Linked DNA regions of Diceros bicornis minor. The protein of the gene in region 2 purifies or fractionates together with the protein of the main gene of each other region. This does not show direct contact. Links are inferred from orthologs where the notes say so. Each region holds a gene or a part of one and is shown on either strand. Other genes may lie near its edges.

Region 1 (8,260 bases), about 25 Mb from region 2:
CTTGAGCAGGGTCCCAGTAGCTAGCCACTGCCCTTATAGCGCCTGCTCAATGAATTGGTAAGAATGAAATTGACAATAATGTAAATTTTGATCCTCCTGGGAGTAGCAGGGAAGCAGGAGGCCTCCTTAGAAAAGTGTCTGCTCCTGAGCAGTCCCAAATGTTTGCTCTGGACCCACGCCCAGATCCGGGCCGTAATTTCAAAAAGGACACTTCTAAAGAGCAAGAGGTCTGATTTACTTTGCTCTTCTGTGTCTTGTCCATACCCTAGTTTTCTTACAGCCCACCCAGAAAATAATTGGCAGGGTGTCAGTAAAAACAAACATCTGTTATTTAAAATGTGTTTGAGGTTTCCTTCCTTTTGCTTTAGCGATTTTAAGATGAAGAAAACATTTTTTGGACGGGAAAACTGAACCCAGAAGGCATTCGTGAATTTGATCCCTAAAGACAATTCAGAGAAAATGAGTTGAGGCAACGGATCTGGATCCAGGTTGTCTCTCCTACCTTTCAGCAAACATAAAATTTGCCCACTAAAAACGTGGGCAGCAAAGGAAAAGTTTCAGATGCAATCCAATAGGAAGAAAAAACTCAAAAGACTTCTCTACCCCAACGGAGTATATCCATTTTTCCTTGGAGTTGTCAGGCATCAGCCGGAATTGGCAAACAATAGCCACTGTGAGAACTGCTATTAAAGCCATTGGGTGGGTCAGGTGGTAGTTATTTCGTGAAAGGGCTAGGAAGTGCTGAAAATTGTTAAAAATAAGTAAATTCATTCTTTTTACTTTTGATGTGAGATTCCTAAATTGTTGAGTCCCAGGAAAATGAGAAGCTTAAGAAAGATCCTAAAACTTCAGTCCAGCTCTCCCAGCACTCTGAGTGCTAATTTATACATTATAACCCTGAAAGAATTCCATTGTTCCCTCAACTTTAATAGACTGGACTGTGTCCAAGGCCATACCAAGTGGGTAGTGCTCTAAAAAAGTCACATTTTTGGAACTGTCAGTGGAAAGCAGGGAGGCACCCAGTCTCAGCTCTACTCAGCCCAAGACTTAACATCACTGGGTAGCTGCTTGTGGGGCTGGCCTGAGTCCAGATATGGGAGGAAAAGGCCCATCTGATTGTATGCAGGAAAAGCCAGGGAAGAGCATCACCTAGAAATCAAAATGCTTTATGCCCAGCAGACCCTCAAGAAAATATCAAGAACTGAAATAAGAAACTCCATATGGTAGATCAAGGACCACGATGAAGAAAGTAGCTTCTGGCTATCAAGGAAGGCATATACTATTGAGAAGAGATGATTAAGTAGACACTGGATAAGAACCTGTGGGGGCAGGGCTGATGAAGAAATTTCAAATGAGTTATATGAACTCATTCCTGCCCCAATCCCTGGCACTATCTTTTGCAATTTGCTGAAACACGTTGGAGGCAAAGATCACTGACAGGGTGTTTCCATGAGCCTGGCCTCACCTGAAGTGCAGGATATAAAAATCCGCTTGGTTGAAACACAAGCTGCAGGGGAAAAAAATCTGCAGCAGTGCAAACCTCTTAACGGAAAAGCAACCTCCCAAGTAAAGCTGAGGCAATCCGCCAGCAGGCAGACTGGCTGATAACCCAGCAGCGGTCTCACCAAGGCCCTGCCAGTCTAACTGCTGCCCTCACCCACAGTTCAGTCAAGAAACCTCTCCTTCAGATTGCCGGCCAGCTCTGGTGTGACTCACTTCCTCCTGGAAAATGCCCTCTAAGATGGCACAGTTCCCCTTTTCCTTTAGGGAGCATTCTGTCTGAACCATCTGCAGAGAGAATCTGGAGCCATCAGGGCCACACCCACATGGTCTCACAGCTGAGTCACAGGCCTCCACTAGGAGAATCTGGGAGCCCTTTTTGTGCTAACCACGCCCTGCAGAATGCTTCCAGCTCCCCAAGGGAGGGAAGGGGGGTGTGCTTAATGTATTCCAGAGTCTGGCCTAGGGCTCTTTGTAGCTGGTCCGTAGCTGCTCCGCTTTCCTCACCACCCCCACCCAGCATGGCAGCATCCCGGTTTCAGTTAGGTGGAGACCAGCTGGGGCTGGGGAGCGCCATTCCTTTAGCCAACTCAAGTTGTGACCAGGTACCAACAGCACGTCTCTCTCTGCCTCATTGCACTGGGCCAGATTAATCTAGTTTGGAAGATCCTTCACCAAGCCTCCTCTTCCCCTATCTCTTTATAGTTCCACTAGTTTGATTAAGATAGCAAGAAGGGAACCCTTTCAATAGGGAAATCACTTCGCATAGTGCCCTCTCCCCCACTGCCCCCTAGCAAAACTGCTTTATAAAGAAAACAAATATATCTTCCTCCCTGGGCAGTAAGAACCTTCCTTTCTAGCAGACAAACAACAGGAAGCCCAACCTGAAGCCTGTGGGCGAGGGACTGAGGAGTGTCCCTTAGGAAGGGAATCCGCCAGCTGCCAACCCGCCCAGCCCTCCCCATGCCTGCTCGGGCCGTCCAGCTAGGAGGCTGGGAACATCTGGGCGGAGGTCAGCCTGCAGCCAGAGCCCACAAAGCAACATGCCGGCGAGGACGCGGGAGAGACATGGGGGTTCGGATAACTCGGGAGACTAATCCAAAAGTAGGAAAGTGGGAGTAAAGAAAATTAAACAGGGAGAAGAAAGCAGATCGCGGGGCACCATCGCCCAGGTCCTGCAGGAAAGGACAAGTGTCCCGTCCTCCCGTCCGCGAGGATCTAGGGAGGGGTCGCGCCGGGCCGGACAGGGGCGCTGCTCGCCTCGCCTGGATGTAGCCCAGAGGGCGGAGCAGCGGATACCCCTCAGCCGCCCCCCGCCCAGAACCGCCGGCGCCCGACCACCCCGCGAGGCCCGGCCCGGTGGGCCAGAGCAGCCGATGTTCCCGCCGAGCACCGGGTCCGGGGCTGGAGACAGCCCGGGGTCGGCGAGCAGAACTCACCTTGGCCGGAGACGCAACGCAGACACTCGGCGGCTGGGACGCGCGGCCAGTGAAGAGAGCGCGGCGGGCAGGGCGCTTTAGTACGTGGGGGTGGGGGGAGGCGGGAGGAGCCTGGGCCGGTGTCGGGGCCTCGGCTCACCCCACCCCTTCTCCTCCCTCCTCTTCCTGCCCCCACCCCCCACATGGGCGCAGCGCGCACACCCTGCTCTCTGTGAGGCTGTGCAGAGAGGAGCCTCGCTCCTGGCCTCCCCCCGCCCCCAGTGAGAGCTTTACAGGACGTGTTGTAAACTTCTCTGCCTACTGGAATGCTCTCGTACAGTTCAGGACATCCCTCCGCACCCTCGGCCGTGCCCTTCCTCTCGGGTTTGGTTTTAGAAAGTGAGTGAGTGTGGAAATCAAAGAATCCAGACGTTCTGCGGGTGGGGCTCGCTGGCCCGGAACCAGATGTAAGCGGCTCTTCGGTAACCTACAGGTCTTGGAATTTCTGTTTTCTAGATGACACTGCAGGGAGGGGGCACGTGGAGTGCTAACGACCGCGCGGGCGTCAGGCTGGGTTGTGCTCAGATTAGGCCCTAGGAGGTCGGTACGGAGGGGTTTCGCGGCCTGCGCCCGCGGGTCCGCGGGCATCTGGAATAAGCCGAGGTCCCTGCCCCCGCCTGTCCCGCGGGGTTGGGGCAGAGAGGGTGCAGTTCGGCTTGTCAGCTCGAGGGCGTTACAAACCCTCTGTTGACCAGGGATTTACCACTCTTGTGTATGGCTTCACTTGGTCGATAGTTCAGCTTCAGTTGTGGTTGATACTGTTAAAACGGAAGATTCAAACCCTGCTTCTTTCTGTCCTGTACTTCGCCTGTTTGGTCCTTTAGAAGAAATTTCTGGAAGAAATTTAGAGAATACCTAAGTGTTTCCTAGCGGATGGTATTCCCCTTTCCCTCTTGACATTTATTTTAATTGTGGTTTAGGGTTAAATGCAAAGTACTAGCAGCTGTTGGTGGAAATGGGCCCAGTCCCAAGTCCTGGGTTTTCCTTTGTTCCCAGGGGAGGTCCTCAGAGGAGTGAGTGATCCCGAAGGAATGAGCAGACTCGGGGAATCCTCCAAGTGTCACCATGTGACTACTCTTGGCTCTTGCCAGGAAAACCCAACTTGGATTTCAGCTCTCACTCCCACTGAGTTCCTGCGACCTTGGTGCTGACTGTTCTGGGGGCAGTTCTTCAAACTCTTCCCATATGCTTCCCAAGTTCTTCCCAGGCCCCAGGTTACAGTCAAGAGTGGAGAAAATCCTGGATCCCTTTATTCCCAGGGAAGATGCAACTGGATTTAGAGTGACAACGCCTGAGTTTATATACTCCTGTTTATTTGATTTCATTTGATTCACAAACCTTTAGGAATGCTTAGTGTGTGCTAGGCCCTGGGGATTCAGAGGTTAAAGAATCAGTCTCTTCCCTCAAAGAGCTTCAAGTCTTGTTGGGAGAAAGATAAGTAAACAATTAAAACCCAGCATGCTCAGTGAATGGTAGAGGACACTATCAGACATTATAAGAACGTTGAGGAGGGGCCTGCAAGTCCCCTTGGAGTGGTCACAGAACTATTCCTGGAGGAGGCAACATTTGATAGATGCTTTAAAAATAACAATGACACTCTTGCCTTTTAAATCTGATTGTAAAAAAGCTTACATTCTTATTGTAGAAGGTTTGGAAAATATGGCAATGTATAAAAAAGAAAATACAATTATTTATAAACCCGTGAACCAAAGATGAACACTTTTATGTCTTTCCTTCTAAGTCTTTTCATGCATATATAATATATATTTACATAACTTGGGGACTTGGGGGAAAATTATTAATATTTTTTGAAAATTGAACCAAAAGGGCATTCTTGAATTTGATCCCTAAAGAGAATTCAGAGAAAATGAGTTGAGGCAACAGACCTGGATCCAGGTTGTCTCTCCCACCTTTCAGCAAACATAAAATTTGCCCACTAAAAAAGTGGGCAGCAAAGGAAAAGTTCCAGATGCAATCCAATAGGAAGAAAAAACTCAGAAGCCTTCTCTACCCCAACGGAGTGTATCCATTTTTCCTTGGAGTTGTCAGGCATCAGCCAGAATTGGCAAACAATAGTCATTGTGACAACTGCTATTAAATTAATTGGTGGGTTGGATGGTAGTTATTTAGTGAAAGGGCTAGGAAGTGCTGAAAATTGTTAAAAATAAGTAAATTCATTCTTTTTACTTTTGATGTGAGATTCCTAAGTTGTGATCACACTGATTATAAAATTACGTACAGTATTCTATTTTCATCCTGTAATGCTTTATCTTGACTATTTTCTGTGAAATATTTATCAAGAGCATGAGTGTTCATTCATTTATTCATTATTATTATTTTTTTCATTCAACAGGTAACTATTCAACTACACTGTGGCTTCTCTACTCTCTTCTCCAGCCTGCCAGCCAGACTCTAGGGCTCCCAGGCCCTACTGGCTGCAGCTCCACAAGATGGAAGAGACCTGGGTTTCTGAAACACTGTGCTAAGTGCTGTGGATATAGTGGTGACAATGGTCAGCATGATGGACATTATCCCTGCCCTCTTGTGGCGTTTTATAACTCTGTGTACCGATAGGTCAAGAAAGCTCTAAGTACCTGCCATGCCAATACTCTCTCTCTAGGAGAAGTGGTCCCAGGCAGTTCTTTCTCCAGAAAGTGGTATGCGTTGTAAACCACATGCACATGGTGGAGCCAGCTCTGTTTCCCTAGTGACAACTGATGGGACCAGGGACCAGCATCTGAGTCAGAGCTGACCAAGAAGGAGGTTGGGGTGGCAGAGGGTGAAGGAGAGATGTGTGGAGAGGAGCAGACTGAATGGCCATCAAAGGAATGGGCACAGAGGCCCAAGCCAGTATGGTCCCTGGACTGAAGATGAGGCAATGTTCAAGTTCTCCACCAGGCCTGTGATACACTCAGTGTACAAAAGGCCAGGAGCAGGAGGCATTGTTTTACTAATGAGGCACTATTGGGTATTTTCCCACTTCTCCATGTGGAAACAAAATCGTTACCCAATGGTTCTCAACTTTTTTGGGTTTGTGGCTGTAGCAAAGAGGGCGGATTGTCCACCAGAAATGTGTGTTCTTCCCGTCATAGTGTAGAAGTGTTGCTGGGAAGTGGCTGCTCAGCCAGGGATTGTGATCCTGGCAACTCTTGCACCTAGGTAAGACTCTGACTAGTCACCAACAGAATGGAACTGGAAGTGATGTGTCACTTGCAGGCCAAGGTGGTTAAGAGGTGACTGTTCCACATTCTTTCTCTCCATCTGCTGGACTCTGAGGCTCTAGGAGTGGAAGAGCCACAATTGGAAGGAGCTTGGGTCCCTGAATCACCAAGTGGAGGAAAACCACCAGCTGACCAGGAATGCCCTCATTGGACTAGTTATGTGAGTGAGGAAGAACCCCAGGATTTGGGGGTTTATTTGTTACGGCATAACTCTAACGAATAGAGTGGCATTCTTTTGATGCTAGTATTTCTGGCAGCACATTCAAAAGGATTAAGTTGCATGTATAGTATGTACTGGTAGGTCAATAAAGGTCAATTATACTGATCACACTTCAGCAACGTGTCAGTGTTTGAGTAGGATTTACTGCTCTGATCACTCTCTCTTAGATACTCATGGGGCAAAGTTCTCACAGGTCCTGGCAAGCAAGTTTCTTTGTGTGTATCAAGTCGTGCCCTGCACCACACAGAAACTGTGTGCAGCCTAGCTCAACATTCTGTCTGCCCAGACATGGCGTGAATAACAGTTGTAGCAAAAGGAAACTTTATCTGTCAATTACCAAGCCCTAGTAAGAGTCACAGCAGTACCCCATGGCACTTCTGTTGAGGACCACTGATTTACAGTTGCTTGGTCAATTCTTTTTGCTGGCAATCCAAAAAACAAAACAAAACAACAAACCCTCAAGGGTGGATATACTAGTACATCCTAAATAGGGAAATATAATTTATTAAATGTTCCCTATATTTTTTGAACATTTAGGTTGTTACCAGTTTTTTACTGTCATAAATAATAATTATGTATAAAAGGACTACTTTTGAATAAACATCTTTGCCCACATGTTTATTTCTTAGGGTAGAATCCTCTCAGGGGCTTTTGTTTGTCTGTTTATGTGTATCTTAAAGGACAGGTAGGAATTGGCCATGTTCTTTGGGGGCAGACAGGAGGGAAAAGCACGTGTGAGATCATGGAATTGTGAGGTAGTGCATCTCTTCTAGGAATTGACCCGAGTTCTGCATGGGGTTGTATGCAGTCCCTTAGGGCTTTGGACGGGGATGAGTCTGGAGATGAGGTGCCTTTCCTGGGACACCTGAGATAATCTGCTAAGGAGTTTGGAGCTCCTTTCTGAAGGTAACAAGGAGCCACTGGAGAACGTTAAAGGGAGAGGGATACCATGGCGTACCGGTTAAGTGTGCAGGCTCTGCTGCTGGCGGCCCGGGTTTGGATCCCGGGCGCACACCGAGGTACCATTTGTCAGGCCATGCTGTGGCGGCATCCCATATAAAGTGGAGGAAGATAGGCATAGATGTTAGCCCAGGGCCAGTCTTCCTCAGCTGAAAGAGGAGGATTGGCATGGATGTCAGTTCAGGGCTGATCTTCCTCACACACACAAAAAAAAAATGGAAAGGGAGAGGGATGACTCTCCCACTTACCAGCTATGTGGCTCTGGGCTCTCACCACTGAGAACCTGAGTCTCCTTATGGGTAAAATCAGGTTAGACACCTGTCTTCTGGGGCAATGGCATAGAATGAACTGACTAATAACCATGAAGGCATCTGGCTGGGCCCCAGCAGGCAGCAGGTTCTGGATATGACCATGAAGGCATATGACTGAGCCCCAGCAGGCAGTGGGTTCTGGATAGCAGATCCAGCCTCTTTGTGATCCCTTACTCTGCGGAGCAGAAGCTTTAAGGAGGCCAAGTGGGCCTATGGCATGGCCCAAGCTCTCCAGTGTATGATTTGTGGGTAAACGCCTTTGAGCAGACTTCCCTCTAGGGTGCCAGGACAGCTCTACCTCGGCTGCGCTTGCCAGGCTCTTATCTCTGGGAGCAGCAGAAGCTGAAGGAGTGTAGCCCCCCCCCCCTTTTTTTTTTAAAACACAAGAGAACTGTAGCTTGGGGTTGGAAACCACCTGCTTTCTTCTGCAAATTCTAATGATTATAATCTATCAAATACTTAGTGAGCGCCTACTAATATCCCACATGTTCTGGGTACGAGGGAGATGTCAATGACCAAGACAGACAAATTTCTGCTCTCTTGGGCCTTACACTCTAGTGGGAAAGACAA
Region 2 (7,776 bases):
CCATGTTTTAACAGCAAATATCGTGATCAAGGGAAACCATGTTATAAAACAGCATGAACAGTGTGTGAAATTAATAAAACAAGGAGGCCTCTCGACTGAGCTGGCTCTAATGCCATGGCGGCCTACAGAAGCAAACCAAAATCTAGGCCCATAAATGCCTCAAGGTTACAAAATTGAAACCAATCACAACCAATCACAAACAGCCAGCTAGACTTTAAGCTATAGCCAATCAATCATTTCCTTACTTTGCTTCTGCCTTTTCTCTCTGAAGGTCTTTCCCTGAGCTCCCGTCAGTCTGGTACTGCCCCATTCAAATTGATTTTTTGCTCGGATAAACTCTTAAAATTTTTAGGGGCCGGCCCGGTGGCGCAAGCGGTTAAGTGCGTGTGCTCCGCTGCGGCAGCCCGGGGTTCGCTGGTTCGGATCCCGGGCGCGCACCGACGCACTGCTTGGTAAGCCATGCTGTGGCGGCGTCCCATATAAAGTGGAGGAAGATAGGCACCGATGTTAGCCCAGGGCCGTCTTCCTCAGCAAAAAAGGAGGAGGACTGGCGGATGTTAGCTCAGGGCTGATCTCCTCACACACACACACAAAAAATAAATAAATAAATAAAATTTTTAAAATGTCTCAGTTAATCTTTTAACAAGTGTGCTCACAATTTTGTAAAATCTACAAGTGAGTCAACGTATAGAAAAATGTCTAGGAGTATAAAGAGGTGTACATACGTGAATTCCTTGTCTTTTTGTCTGTGTGCTGATGCATGTTATATATTCAATAAATATTTGTTGATTGAAAAAAATGAATGAATGACATTTTTAAAGTAGTTACTCCTTGGGGGAGATTATAGGTAATTTTTTCCATTTCTTCTTTGCAATTTTCTATATTTAACAAAATTTAAACGGTGAGCATAAATTATCTTCGTAATAAGCAAGAATATTATAAAACATAATTATGCTAGAAATATTGTTAGAAATTTTGGGTTAAAAACAGAAAATATAGACAGCCCACAATCCAATCAAAAATAACTTGCCTCTTATTTTCCTATTATGTTCTACTTATTGTATCCAGCAATAAAAAATGTCGGATGTTATAGAAAAACGGCAAGCTTAATATTGTACAGCTAATTATTATTGGGGTTGAGTCTAGAATCTAGGTCACTTGGTTTCCAGGCAGGTAGTTCTTTCAATTACACAAAATTGCTTGGAGTTCCAGAACACTAATGAATAAGTGACAGTATGGGCCTTGCAATATCCACTGTTAGGCAGTTCTTTACTTACAAGTAAAATGATTTGCTAATTAATTATTTAATATTATCAGAAAACTCCCAAGTTATAGACATACTTCATCTTCGTGTGACATGAATGATTTGGGGTGTTTGTGAACTTCCTGAAGGTATTTCCAAATGTGTGCCTGTTGGAGGAGCATATCATTCTGGGGAGGGGTTTACAGCTTTTATAAGATTTGTAAAAGGGTCTGAGATTAAAAACAAATGGCTGAAAGTAACTAAAGCTATAAAATCTGAAAGCAAAAGGAGAAAAAAAAACTGATGATAAATAAAAAGCATGGGAGGAGAAAAGGAACCACAACTAATTCTGTCTTCCTCTTTTTTATTCCTGGAACATACTTTTTAATATGTAAATAACTTGGTTTTATGACTTTGCTTTCTAAGCAGTGACACTAGGAATGATAGTGATAGGTTAAAAACACAGGCCACATTATCTCTACGGAATGAACTGTATCAGATACTAAGAAATATATTTAATAATTTTCCTTTTGCTAATTAAATATAAATGCAAAATACTTCAAAAGTGACTTGGTTAAAAAGAAGCAGTTTTTGGTCTTATAAAATGTGCTTCCTCTACAGGAAGTTTGTAAAGCCGCTTTGAGAAAATGCAGAGTGAACACTTCTCTATGCATTTCACAATTATTGCTTAATTTAAAATTTAACTCTTCCTCTACTCAACGAAAGAAGAAAATAACCTGTTTCTTACCCCAACATCAAATTTGATTGGCAAGGTCTAGGGACCTCTGGAATACAGTTTAAAAACTCTTAAGAGGGTTTGTTTCACTACTATACCCAGCAAATATCTCTTGGGCTACAATTCCAAATTTACAGAACAAATAGAAACAAAACAAAATCCGAATTCTCCTTGAAACCAAAGGGTGATCTATGCAAATACGGTAACTTAGAATGGACACTATCCAATGGTAGACCTCTAGTACTCTCCATCTGCCTTGGCGGAAGCAAGGCTTACATCATCAACCAGTGTGAGGAGCATTTCTTGTTCTAATTTTTGAGATGAAAAATCATTATTTTTAATTCTAAAAAGATTATAAGTTGTACGAGACTTAGACATGTTAAGCCACTATTATTTCAAATTTAAATGCCCTTTTTACCGCTTCTAAAACAAAATTACTAAAATAGTATTCACATTCAAAATTAACCTTTCTTATTTGATCAAATCTTTTCCAGTATCTAGTTCTGAGCTCTGTGCTCCTGGCATGTCAAACAACTTAGTGGAAGGGCAAATCACAATACCAGTCGGTTTACAATTAATTTTTTAACATTGTCTTTCTTTTCGCGTAACGCTGCAACATATTCAAGACGCAGGAATGCTTTGTATAAGTAACCGAAATGACTTTTTTTTTTTTAATTAAAACTTAAATGAGCGAACAAATTCCGCCGCTAAAGATCGTTAGGGGTGTCACACAGCACGCTGCTCAAGTACGGGGATCGGAACCGCTGGGTGGCATCACGCGGAGGACTAGTCCGTGCCACCTCGCCGCCGTTTCGGATGTTCGCTTTCGTTCGGGGGCTGTAAGTGAAGGAAACACCTTATCGTTGACTCCACAGTGCATTGAGACCTCGGAAAGCAAACTGGCGTTTGTTAGAAGGAAATTAAGTTCCCTGATCTGTGTCTCATTTCAAAGGACAGAGGACATGCAGACGTTTTAAAGCCATGAACTACTAGGTTTCCCTCCGTCCTTTCTTCCTTCCAAGTATGATACAAACTAAAAGCTAAGGAGGGTGGGAGAGAGAAGTGGAGGGAGGGAAGAGTAAATATATTGCTTACAGTTCCCAGAGTTACATGAGATTCTTCAGGCTCCTTTACGCCTCTAGCTTTCTGTCAGGATCCTTTTTCAGCCCGGCACTACAGAGAAGTTAATGCCTTATCCTTGGTAGGAGGGGCTAAAATGTGGGCTGGTTTCCTTTAGTCTTGGCAGATGTCTTAAGGTGGAATTAAAGAAGAAGAGCAGGAAAGCACTGTTTTCGGAGAAGCTGAAATGTAAATGTTTACTGATCAGGACCAGGATTTGAAGTCAGAAAACATGCTTAAATAGTATGTAAGTTAACAGGGCCTAAATTACGTGGATGCCTGTGTGTGTGTGTGTGTGTGTGTGTGTGTGTGTGTGTGTGTGTGTGTGTGTCTGGAAGTACTTCTTGTCCTTAAGTAGTTAATTGCTTCCTCTTTCTTTCCAAACAAGCAAGAACTAAATTGAAAAGATGAATAACCTAGGGCATTCCTTAGAAAGGCAAAATTTATACCAAACTCAAAATATAAAATGTGTACATTTTGAAGATGAACAATATAAGACTTTAAAAAGGAAATCCGTTCAAATATTTCTTCCCCAAACTCAAAACATCTGAGTTGATAACCATTTGTTTGTAAATTTAAGATTAAAGGCATACCAAAGAATGTAATACATATGTTGAGATTTATGGGGAAAAAACTCAAATCAGGTTGAATTATAAATTTGCAATGTAAATTCAAATGCCTGATAACACTGTAATAAACAAGGTATACTGTTTAAATTTATCCAGATTCAACAAGAATCAATTATTGTCGTTAAAGATTGACATATTTGTTTAGTATATCTTGTTTTAAACACAAGATCACCTATTTTTGCCTTTAATCAAATATTGAGCACACTCTCCTAGCTCTCTTATAACATTTTCAAAGAATATAATTTCAGCAGACTCCATCATTAAATCTTCTGGATTATCTGCTCTCTGCAGCCCAAGATTCAACTCTTTTTTGTTTTTATTTTCTCCCATAAATTCAACCTCATATATTATACATCTCTCCTTCCTAAAAAAGGCCTGTAGTGTCTCATGGGGGTCAAGATCTTTCTCTTTCCAAAGATCCTGAATTTCTTGAAAGGTGGAGTGTACTAAGGAGAGGAGCAGAGAGCACGCCGCTATTTTTCACCTTTCCCCCGGGTGCAATTGCTGAAAGAAAGAATACGTTTTTCAGGGCATGTTCATCCTGAGATTCTGACGAACAAAGGCTCCCTCAAAAGGCGGCTTCACAGTGCTCGGGTCAGTTTGATAATAGAAAGATGTAGCTCTCAATATTTGGAGAGGATGTCCGACACTGTGGTATATATTAAAGATATGAAAAAATTTTGGCTAAATGCTTTTAAAGAAAATTTTAGTGTATGTTATCCCTAGGGTTAAAACATATGGGGAGATGTTTGCCTCTTTCCAGCCTTACTAAATCGGGCTGACTTATCTCCATTCTTTCAGTGACTAAAAGCTGCTGCAGGTGTCTCTCCCTCTCTGGAATTGATGGAGACCACCTTCCATTGCCTCATCCTGTGGTTCTGTGGCCTCAATGTCCACATTCAGTTCAGTTTGGCTCCTTATCTGTGATCTCATTGTTCACGTAGACCCCTAGATAGATGGTACCAGTTCGGATTTACTGTCTTCACTTTGTTCTATTTCCTCCAAAAATATTTCCAACATTAGCCTACTAGTTCCAAGAACCACTGCCTTCACGTTAGAAGAGAGACTGCCTTCATAGCCTGCCTTAGTATGTAAGATCAATTCGGTCTGAAGACCCCTCTTTTCTGGGCCGGTGCATCAGTGATGATCAGTTAGGGGAAGAAATACGTGTGGGACCCATCTGAACTGAGCAATATTGTAGCAGCCTCTTTAAGTCCAATCCCACATTTTGCCTTATTGCCAGTTAATGAGTTTCATACGGTTTGCCATTAATTACCAACATCTTAAAAAATTTAGACTGAGAATAATAAGCTAATTTTAGCACTGGATAAGTAAGCAAAAGGAACAGACTCAAAACTGCCCGGAGTAGCAAACAAGGAAGTACCTCTGTGTCAAAACCCATGGCTCAAAAAGCAGAAAAGGAAAACCTGATGTTTTCATGATTAGTTATTCTTCCTTTATATGCTGTTGCTTTCTATTCCCTTTTTTACTTCTTCCTCTTCACCCATCCTGTACTCTAACTATACGAAAGTGACTTGTCTCCCATGAACTTGGACATGAGGAATGAGATATGATTTGATAGTTCAATTCATACATTCAATGAAAATAGTTAGCCAGCGTGAGATGCTAAGAGAGAGTTGAATAGAGAAATCTAATCCAGATTGCAGATAGAAACAGAGGAAATTTTCAATGGCCACAATTAACCAATTTTCCTACAATAGTATATCCCTCTTTGCTGCTATGCTTGAGTACTCTGGTGTATAATGCAACTATTTTTATAATAGAATAATACATTGATATTCTTACTATTTGTCTGTGAATATAATTAATATGAGTCATTCCTCTCTTTACGTATTAACAAAATCAAGTTAGTAAGACACCTGAATCAAAGAACATGGAAGTAATTCTCACCCGTGAAATTTTTTGGCATTCGGCTAATTGACCCTCATCTTTCATTCAAACGAATACCGAGACTATTCTCCTTGCACACCTTTCCCTTAAATTCCGCTAAATAATCCTACTGATCCTGCAAGGCTTAGCTCAGTTACCACTTTTTCTGGAATATTTCTCTACTCACTCTCCTTTCCAGCATAATTCATCTTTCTGTTTGAGTGAGAACACTCATTAGAGCGCTGATCAATTTGTATTATACTTGGCTATACATGAAAAAATAGTATATGCTCCATGACGGCAGGAGACAAGCCTTCTTCATTTTAGTAAACCCTCTTCCCACCCAAAGTCCATAACACATAAGGAGCTCAAAGGATGTTTGTTGAATTGTTCTCCATGATATTGGGTTCAAAGATATCTTAAACTCGACACCCAAATAGCACGCTACTTGCTACTGTCATTTCCATCATTACTAAGGAAAAAAAAATTTCTTTTTTTTATGCCCACACACACACTAATAAAATTCCTGGAAATATGAAGCTAATCAGAGACAAGAGTGAAATGAACCCTAATTAAAATATGTTTACAATTCATTTAAAAATTAGATGTAATGATGAAAGCACAGATCTAAAGAGAGAGTATTTATGAACAAGAACTATATTTCGGTTAGTAATCACCTGTACTTTTAATGTGCGTTCAGTGTACCCATATTTTTGCATCATTATTTTGACCTGAAAAATGGGAGCAATAATTTTCTCTTAATTATTCTTTTTTTAATTGAACATGTTAGGCAGATTATTACTACTTTATTAAACGTTTCCCGCATCAATGTCTTTTTTTTTTTAAATATATTAAAATGACTATAATGAATAAAACACTAGTAATGTCATTGTTACTCCTTATATAGAGCCTATAATGGGCCATGTACTTTGTATTATTACCACATTTGCAGTATTATTAACCACTATATTCACGAAATTAGGCATTATTATCTTTATTTAGAATCCTAATGTTATGTAAGCACACAAAATTAGTAGTGAAGCCTGGATTTCAATCCAAGTCTGTCTGACTCCAAAGTTCACAATTTTTCCCACATACTATACCATCTCTTACAGCAAGTTTTGTTTGACCATCTTTTCAGCTTTGTTCCAAGTCAGCCAAATCCCTGACTGTTGTACATTGGTAGTAGTGGACCCACTGGTAGAAGATGGAACCCCCTAAGCACTCAGGCTAGGAATCTTCCACTATTCTCTTTCTCCCCAGCAGTGGTCACTGTCTTACCCCTCCTCCTGATCCCAACACCTTTATTCATCTTCTGGTTTCTATATTCAAAGTTTTTATATCTATATTTTCCTTTTTATTTTACTGTCAAAATATTAATTTATACCCTTGCATTACTATTACTTACACATACTATCGATAATATGGGCTTCACTTCTGCATCTCCTTTCCCCTGTTAAAATCATCCTTAGCTTCATTCCCAGATAAACTGTCCTACAATACAAGTCACACCGTTCCACTGCCACACTCATACCATGCAGTTTTCTCCACTGCCTGTTGACTTATACTACTATACCTTAAAAATACTTCTTTTTCTTTTGCAGATAAAACAGATGTGGAAATTAAATCAGGATCCCTTTAGATTTTAAGCAAATTACAAATTTATATTGTACAGATGGAAAGAATCATACTGTCAACAATTAATATGGCTTAACAGACAGTAGCAAACTTTGACTACGGACAAACCATATTCAGGAACTTTTGACAAAGCCAAGTTGTTCTTATTCATTTTACCTACTCGTGGCAATATGTTAAAAGTTGTTTTCTGCTCTTTGAGATCTCTCTAAATTTGGTAAAACAAATGCATGTCTGGTTTCAGCAATTCTGTTGGAATGGACATGAGCCCAATTACGGCAGCTCAGAAACTGACTTGCAGGCACTTTATAGAGTTTTAAAAATTCTTGACGGGCTGGACCCATGGCTTGGTGGTTAAGTGTGCGCGCTCCGATGCTGGTGGCCCGGGTTCGGATCCCGGGCGCACACCGAGGCACCACTTCTCCGTCCATCCTGAGGCCGAGTCCCACATACAGCAACTAGAGGGATGTGCAGCTATGACATACAACTATCTACTGGGGCTTTGGGGGGAAAAAATAAATAAA

The links.
Region 1: the proteins of PLA2G4A (region 2) and S100A10 purify together in Homo sapiens (affinity purification with western blotting; 3 studies listed by BioGRID). This does not show direct contact. The link is inferred for Diceros bicornis minor from reciprocal best matches to the Homo sapiens genes PLA2G4A and S100A10.

What each region holds. Positions count from the first base shown.
Region 1 is NC_080743.1:56,176,715-56,184,974, forward strand, and holds the start of S100A10 (protein S100-A10), read right to left. Parts: upstream 3,039-8,260; 5' UTR 2,940-3,038; intron 1-2,939. UniProt on the Homo sapiens protein: Because S100A10 induces the dimerization of ANXA2/p36, it may function as a regulator of protein phosphorylation in that the ANXA2 monomer is the preferred target (in vitro) of tyrosine-specific kinase.
Region 2 is NC_080743.1:80,990,549-80,998,324, forward strand, and holds the start of PLA2G4A (cytosolic phospholipase A2), read right to left. Parts: upstream 3,152-7,776; 5' UTR 3,075-3,151; intron 1-3,074. UniProt on the Homo sapiens protein: Has primarily calcium-dependent phospholipase and lysophospholipase activities, with a major role in membrane lipid remodeling and biosynthesis of lipid mediators of the inflammatory response.